Linked DNA regions of Macaca fascicularis. The protein of the gene in region 1 interacts with the protein of each later gene in a pairwise test. Links are inferred from orthologs where the notes say so. Each region holds a gene or a part of one and is shown on either strand. Other genes may lie near its edges.

The links.
Region 2: the proteins of TRIM38 (region 1) and RFC5 interact in binary tests that used the Homo sapiens proteins (3 or more experiments, as listed by UniProt). The link is inferred for Macaca fascicularis from reciprocal best matches to the Homo sapiens genes TRIM38 and RFC5.

The regions. Positions count from the first base shown.
Region 1 is NC_088378.1:146,953,881-146,957,696, reverse strand, and holds part of TRIM38 (E3 ubiquitin-protein ligase TRIM38), read left to right. Parts: intron 1-370; coding exon 371-393; intron 394-489; coding exon 490-602; intron 603-2,114; exon of another isoform or gene 2,115-2,652; intron 2,653-3,816. UniProt on the Homo sapiens protein: E3 ubiquitin-protein and E3 SUMO-protein ligase that acts as a regulator of innate immunity. Acts as a negative regulator of type I interferon IFN-beta production by catalyzing 'Lys-48'-linked polyubiquitination of AZI2/NAP1, leading to its degradation.
Region 2 is NC_088385.1:124,993,050-124,997,372, forward strand, and holds the start of RFC5 (replication factor C subunit 5), read left to right. Parts: upstream 1-1,271; 5' UTR 1,272-1,393; coding exon 1,394-1,458; intron 1,459-3,937; coding exon 3,938-4,002; intron 4,003-4,323. UniProt on the Homo sapiens protein: Subunit of the replication factor C (RFC) complex which acts during elongation of primed DNA templates by DNA polymerases delta and epsilon, and is necessary for ATP-dependent loading of proliferating cell nuclear antigen (PCNA) onto primed DNA.

The DNA.
Region 1 (3,816 bases):
AGGACCTTTATGATATGTGTTCTCTAATCTGGGCTCACTGTGAAGGAAATCCGATCACCAAAAGCTAGTCTTGACAGAGGGAGCATGGACAAAGCTCCTGGCCCTCATGCTTCAGCAAGGATGAGAATAGATGCAAATGTTGATAAACATCCTGCCATGCTGAATCTCCCAGAAGCTGGTAGGAATTATTCCATCTGGGTATCCATCAACATCTAAGACTTGTGGGAATTACTCTATTTGGGTATCCATCAATATCTAAGACCAGGGTAACTCTCTTCTTTGGGAAAAGCAAAGAAGAATAGCTCTGCATGACAAGCCCCATGAAATACTGATGTTCCCATGCTCACCTTTTCTTTTTGTTTCTTTATAGAATGTGAATGACACTTTGAGCAGGTAAGTCCTGTATGAATGCAGGAGGGGAGGGGCATGTGTATATAGAACTGGATGGAATGCACCTCTGAAGAAATCTCTGGCCTCTGGTTGTTCTAGGAGTTGGGCTGTGAAACTGGAAACATCAGAGGCCGTCTCCTTGGAACTTCATACTATGTGCAATGTTTCTGAGCTTTACTTTGATGTGAAGAAAATGTTAAGCAGTCATCGAGGTATGTGCACTAAAGAATTTCTAAATACTGTGGATGGAAGGGGCCTTATGCAGTAACCAAGTTTACCACCTGTCCCTCAGCAGGCTCACAGCCAGAGAGGTTGTTTAGTTAATTTCAGTAGTGCCTTCATACCTTCTCTAGTTAGTATGATTCACTGCTTAGATGTGAGTGAGCATTGCATTCTGGTTATCTGCACAAACCTTTCAAATTCTTATTCTTTCACTTATTACCCATGTTACTCCAAGTGACTTGGTTTTCCCCTCTGAAAAATGAAAATATTAACAGCCCCCACTTCATTGAGTTGTCATCAAAATTAAATGCATCAACATGTACAAAGTGCTTAGCACCGTAACTGATAGATGATCATAATACCACATCCTGGTATTAGATCTGATCATAGTGTTTATTATTAATAGATCAGCCAACTCTTAGAGCAATGCAAGAAAGGTAGGTGAGTATGACAGCCTATCATTCACATATTTTAGGAACTTGACTTAGATAACACAGATGATAAATGTTACAACCAATTTACAGATTCCGAAATGTTAGAACCATTTACTGAATTTCCTGCTCCCTTGATTTTTTTAAATCAGTACTGACCATACTTTCACAAATTTGTATTCATAAGTACAAAATCAAAAAATCCCTGAAAATGGAAAGTTTTATCATGATTCATTGGGCTGCAAAAATGTGGCCTAACCTGAAATGATTTGGTGGTTACATTAGTTATCTGTTAGTACAAACAAATTACCATAATTTAGAACCTTAATACAACACCCATATATTATCTCAATTTTTGTGGTTCAGGAATCTGGGCACAGCTTAGTTGGGCCCACTGCTTAGGGTCTGACAAGGCTGCAATTAAGATACTGGTCAGGCTGTGTTCTTACCTGGAGGCTAGGCTGAGGAAGAATCCACTTCCAAGCTCACTGAGGTAGCAGGCAGAATTTCTTTCCTGATGGTTGCAGGACTTTGGGCCCTGGTTATTTCTGGCTATTGGCTGGAGGTTGCCCTCAGCTTCTACAGGCCACCCCTCAGCTCTTTGCACACGGGCGTCTAACGTGGCCAGTTATTTCTTCAGAGAGAGCTCAGGAGACAGACTCTTTAGAGAAAATCTGATAGCAAGATGGAGTCTTACATAATGAAATGTAATCTTAGAAATTATATTCCATCATCTTTGCCATATCCTATTGGTCAAAAGCAATTCATAAGCCCTTCTCACACTCAAAGACAAGCAATTTTATGAGAGTGTGAACACTAAGAGGCAGAAATCATAGAAGGCCACCCTTGAGTCTGTCTTCCACAGTGGCCAACCCTGAACTGCACTGAGATGAGACTATTTAAAAGTCTTTATTTATCCCACTTAATTTGAATAAATGTTTTGCTGCAGATATATTGATGAATTTGATTACAAGGCTCTGCCTTAGGCCCTGATGGGGTTGAAATTTAGAGTATATGCATTTTTTTTTTTTTTTTGCCTTTATAACTTCTAAACTAATTTGAATTGCAAAGCCCATTTTGTTCCAGGGATTTCAGATAAGGAATTATAGACCTGTGTTCCCCTCAAATACACAACAACAAACAACAACAAAACCCAAAAGCACTCTGTATTTCATCCTATACAGATGACAGGAAGGAAGAACAAGACTTTGTGTAAGTTTTGCTGGGATTTCACTGAGTTAATTTGCCTCCTCTCATCTTTTACAGAAGGAATCATAATACGGTTCAAGTGAAACTCTTTTTTTTTTTTTTTTTGAGACAGAGTCTCACTCTGTCGCCCAGACTGGAGTGCAGAGGCGTGATCTCAGCTCACTGCAAGCTCCACCTTCTGGGTCAAGTGAAATTATTTCGTAAATGGGCTTATCTTTTAACGAAATATTTCTCCCCTCTTAAACACTGTTTATTAAAATTTTTCTTTTTTTAAAATTTTTTTTGAGATGGAGTCTCGCTCTGTTGCCCAGGCTGGCTTGCAGTGGCACAGTCTCAGCTCACTGCAGCCTCTGCCTCCCGGGTTCCAGTGCCTCAGCCTCCAGGGTAGCTGGGATTACAGGTACGTACCACCACCCCTGGCTGATTTTTGTATTTTTAGTAGAGATGAGGTTTCACAATGTTGGCTAGGCTGGTCTTGAACTCCTGACCTCACGTGATCTGCCCACCTCAGCCTCCCAAAGTGCTAGGATTACAAGTGTGAGCCACTGCACCTGGCCTAAAATTTCTCTTATTACAAAAGTGATATGAATAAATTTTATTTTTATTTTTAAATGTATGTTTATTTATTTTATTTTACATTGCCTTCAAGCAGATGCAACAAATAAATTTTAATCAGTCAAACAATATAAAGAATATAAACAGAAAGTTCAAGGTTTCTCCCACCCCTCTCCAATCTGACTTCTCTAGGTAGGGTAACCTATATCTTTCCCTAAGTTTGTACAAACATGTAATATATATAATCTGTCTCTTCTATGTTACTCATTACTTTTTTATGTCTAATATTCCATAAGTATATAATAAATATATGTAACCATATCCCTACTGATGGAGCTTCAGGCTGTTTCTAGAACTTAGTTATTACAACATTGCTACAAAAACTTTCTAGTCCATGCACCCTTTTATCCTGGTACTTTCATTTCTTTTGGGAGCATACCCCAAACCGGGATTGCTGAGGTTGTTGTTAATCTTAATATATGGTACCATATTACTTGACTCAAAGTTGTAACATAACTCCTACCAGCACCAGGAATAATGACCCACATATACTGAACACTTTTTTAGTCTGTGACAGATTAGAAAAGCTTTACTTTTCTTGGTTTTTGTTTTATTATATCACAGTCCTCTCTATATGGGGCATTTTTGCTTTATAGATAAGGAAATATGACAGAGAGAGGTTAAGTGAGTGTTGTAGGATCTCATAACTAGAAGGTAGGCGTAGAAAGAGTCTAGAATCTAGAAAGCACTCTCTTACCATTCTGCAATGTGGCAGAAAATACAAAGTGTTATTTACTTATCTCTTTTAGACAGGTTCTTACTCTGTCACCCAGGCTGGAGTGCAATGGCCCCATCATGGCTCCCTGCAGCCTTAAATTCCTGGGCTTAAGCAATCTTCCCACGTCAGCTTCCCCAGTAGCTGGGACCACAGGCAGGGACCACAGGCAAGCACCACCACATCTGGCTAACTTTAATTTTTTTTTTTTTCTTTTTGTAGAAACAATATCTC
Region 2 (4,323 bases), on another chromosome or scaffold:
ACCCGTCTCTACTAAAAATACAAAAAATGAGCTGTGCATGGTGGTGGGCACCTGTAGTCCCAGCTCCTTGGGAGGCTGAGGCAGGAGAATGGTGTGAACCCGGGAGGCAGAGGTTGCAGTGAGCCGAGATCGCCGCTGTACTCCAGCCTGGGCAACAGAGCGAGATTCCGTCTCAAAAAAAAAAAAAAAAAAAAAAAAGACTTCAGTATGGATGCTTTGCATGCTCATTGCTGGAAAATACAGACCAGGCCAGGCATGGTGGCTCACGCCTGTAATCCCAGCACTTTGGGAGGCTGAGACGGGTGGATCACTTGAGGTCAGGAGTTCGAAACCAGCCTGTCCAACATGGTGAAATCCCGTCTCTACTAAAAATACAAAAATTAGCCAGGCGTGGTGGCACGCACCTGTACTCCCAGCTACTCCGGAGGCTGAGGCAGAGAATCGCTTGAACCTGGGAGGCAGAGGTTGCAGTGAGTCAAGATCGTGCCACTGTACTCCAGCTTTCGTGACAAAGCGAGACTCCAAAAAAAGAAAAGAAAATACAGACCGATAAAAAAGAAGAAAATAAAAGCGATCTAGAATTCTCCTCGCTTCAGGAAAAAAACTAAAATGTTGATATCGATTCTCCTCAGTATCTCAGATCACAGAGACCCTGTCCTCTGTGTTCATGAACTAGATCCTTCCAGCGACACAGATTAACCCAACTGGAAGTTTCTGTTTGTTTTTCTCTGGAGATGTTTTCTGGAGGTTGGTTCTCCAAATTTTGTTGGGTGAGGGACACGGATTCTGGAGACAGGTAGGTTGCAGTTGTGTTTGTTTGGGGTTGTTTTCGTTTCCAAACATTCACCTCCCAGCTTTGGGGCCGAGAGGTATCGCGAGCCTTTTTTCACAAGGGCGTCTATATTCAAGACCCAACCGTGTTACTCCGGGCTGTTTTTTTCTTAGATATTTTTTTTTTTTTTTTTTTAGCCCCGGCAGCTTTTGTTCCTTTGAACGTAAGGGTTTGAAGCTTGGCGATGGAGGAATTGGCTTTGGCCGTGCGATCTTAATATGTAATGATGACTGGGGCTGCAGGGGGCCCTGCCTTTCCCGCTTCCCTGCTCTGAAAGCGCCTGGGTATCTAAGAGCTCAGAGCAGGCTGGAGGGGCGGAGCTTGGAGGAAGGCCGGCGGCCCGCGCCTCCCGGTAACCTAGCAACCGGCGCCCTAGCAACGCGAGGGGGCGGGACCGAGGGAGGAAGTCGGAAACTGGTGGCTACGGCTCGCGAGAGTTGCTTTTGCGCGCGAACTCTAAGTGCCAGGGTCGAACTCAGGGCCGGGTCGCGGCTGGTCACTGGACAGGGGCTTGGGTGACGCGACGATCTCAGCTGATCTGGTCACCTTCGTCTCCCCGCCATGGAGACCTCAGCGCTCAAGCAGCAGGAGCTGCCCGCGGCGGCCAAGATCAGGAACCTGCCCTGGTAGGAAGAGGCCGAGCGGCGGCTGTGGGCAGAGGGGGCCGGGCAGCCGCGCGGGGAGGAGGTGGCTGGAGTGGGCAGGTGATCGGACCCCAACCCGACCTCTTCCCGTCTCCCCCGGGCCTGCAGCCGGGACCGAGCCGCAAAGGTTTTCTCCGACACCCCCCAGCTCCCCAGACTCGTCCGTCTGTTTAGGACTTTTGCCAGCTGTCACCCTTTGACGCCCAGCTCCATTTGCCGAAGAAGAAGTCGGCTTTCGCACCTCGTGACAGCACAGGGGTTCGATTCCGTGTCTCCTGACACCTGCAATGGCCTCCATGCCAAAGTGCCCTCTTCCCACTCTTCAAAACCTGCGATGCGACTACTGGTCACATTTTAAATTAGTAATAAGGCTCCCTGGTCAACTTTTATTGGATGGCATATTATTAGATTAGCAGACGCCCTGTTAGATGTTCGATCCTTACAAAGACCGTAAGAGGTAGGCACCGCTTCAAATTTTACACAGGAGGAAACTGCATTTTAGAAGGGTTAAATGACTTCCCTATGGTCCAAGGCTAAAAAATTGGCTTGGAGGTGAATTAGGAAGTCTGAATTCAGAGCTTGTACTCTTAACCATCCTACTTCAACAACTGTGTTCTAGCAATGCTTTCAAGACTTTGAAGCAATTTGGCTTGGCTTCGAAAAGCTCCAAGTTGTCATTGTCTAGTAACTAGTTTAAAAAAAATTGTTTTTTTGAGACGGAGTCTCCCTCTGTTGCTGGAGTGCAGTGGCGCGATCTCAGCTCCCTGCAACCTCCGCCTCCTGGATTCAAGCAGTTCCCTACCTCAGCCTCCTGAGTAGCTGGGATTACAGAAGCCTGCCACCACGCCCGGCTAATTTTTGTATTTTTAGTAGAGACGAGGTTTCACCGTATTGTCCAGGCTGGTCTTGAACTCCAGACCTCGTGATCCACCCGCCTCGGCCTCCCAAAGTGCTGGGATTACAGGCTTGAGCCACCGTGGCCGGCCAATTTGTTTTTATTGTGGTTAAAAAAACCCAGAAGATTGACAGTTGTAACTATTTCATGTATTTACATATTTTTTTTTTAGAGACAGGGTCTTGCTCTGTCGCCCAGGCTGGAGTGCAGTGGCGTGATTACAGCTCAGTGTCACCTCAAACATTGGAGTTCAAGCCATTCTCCTGCCTCAGCCTCCAAAAAACTGGGACTTTTGGAGGCGAGCTACCAAGCCCATCCTGTAACCATTTTAAAATGTACAATTCAGCGGCATTAAGTACATTCCGAATGCAGTGGACTGTTGTGGAGTCTTCCCACTATCTAGTTCCAAAATTTCATCACCCCAAATAGAAATCCTGTGCCCATTGACAGTTACTCCCCATTCTCCCCTTCCTCTAGCCCCTGGCAACCACTAATCTACTTTCTGTCTCTATGGATTTGCCTATTCTGGACATTTCATGTAAGTGGAATCCTACACTATGTGGCCTTTTGTGTCTGGTTTCTTTCACTCAGCATCATGTTTTCAAGGTTCATGCATGTTGCTGCTTGCATCAGTAGTTCATTTCTTGTTATGGCTGAATCATATTCTATTGTGTGGACAGAAGAGGTTTTACCTATCCATTCTTCTGTTGAAGGCTATTTGGGTAGGAGTTCAGTTTCAAATGCACTTTGAAATAGTAGGTGCCCATCAGGTTGAGATTATAGACAAACAGCTGGAAAGATGAAATTAGAACAGAGTTCATCCTCGGCACTATTGACATTTTGGGCAAGATACTCTGGGTGGGTTTGGGGGAGCTGTCCTGTGCACTGTAGCATGTTTAACAGCATTCCTAGAGATTACACACTAAGTGCCATAGGACCCTCTGCTCACCTGTGACAACTAAATATGTTTCCAGATATCACGAGATGTTCCTGGGAGGACAAAATCACCCCTGGTTGAGAACCACTGGTCTGTGTTCAAACTTAAAGTGCTTTGTTTTTCTTGCTTTTTAAATTAGGATATGAAAGGATTCTTTTTTTTTTTTTTTTTTTTTTTGATACAGGGTCTCACTCTGTCGCCCAGGCTGGAATGCTGGAGTGCAGTGGTGCAGTCTCGGTTCACTGCAACCTCCGCCTCCCAGGTTCAAGCAGTTCTCCCATGTCAGCCTCCTGAGTAGGTGGGGCTGCATTGGTATGCCACCATACCCAGCTAATTTTTGTATTTTTGGGTATTTTTTATTGAATGGCATATTATTGGGTTAGCAGACGCCCTGTTAGATGTTCGATCTTTACAAAGACCCTAGGAGGTGGCCATAGAGACAGGGTTTTTTCATGTTGGTCGGTCTGGTTGGTCTTGAACTCCTGACCCCAAATGATCCACCCGCCTCGGCCTCCCAAAGTGGTGGGATTACAGGTGTAAGCCGCTGTGCCTGACCTGCAAGGATTCTTTTACACATAAAATATTCTTGCATGTATATATGTCATAATACATACTAAATTGTATTTCAGGGTTGAAAAATACCGGCCACAGACCCTGAATGATCTCATTTCTCATCAGGACATTCTGAGTACCAGTAAGTATCCATGTGTCAGTTGCTCTTGTCCTGGTTGAGGGACCTGTGTGAATTTCTTGGTGAGGTCTCTCCTAAGTAATAACTTCAAAGAATCTGATTGAGCTTTGTAGAATGTGGCTTTAAGATCATTCATTCATCTTCTTCAGATAGCTGCAGTCTAGTGGGTAAGTCACGAACATGAGCATAAAATTGCAACTCAGTGGAGTAAAAATAGCATTACAGCGAATCATTTAAGTTTACAGATGTTGTCAGCACCCAGAAAGGTGCCTGTAACACAGTAGGCCCTCAATAAATACTTGCTGGCTGGCTGCACTATTGAGT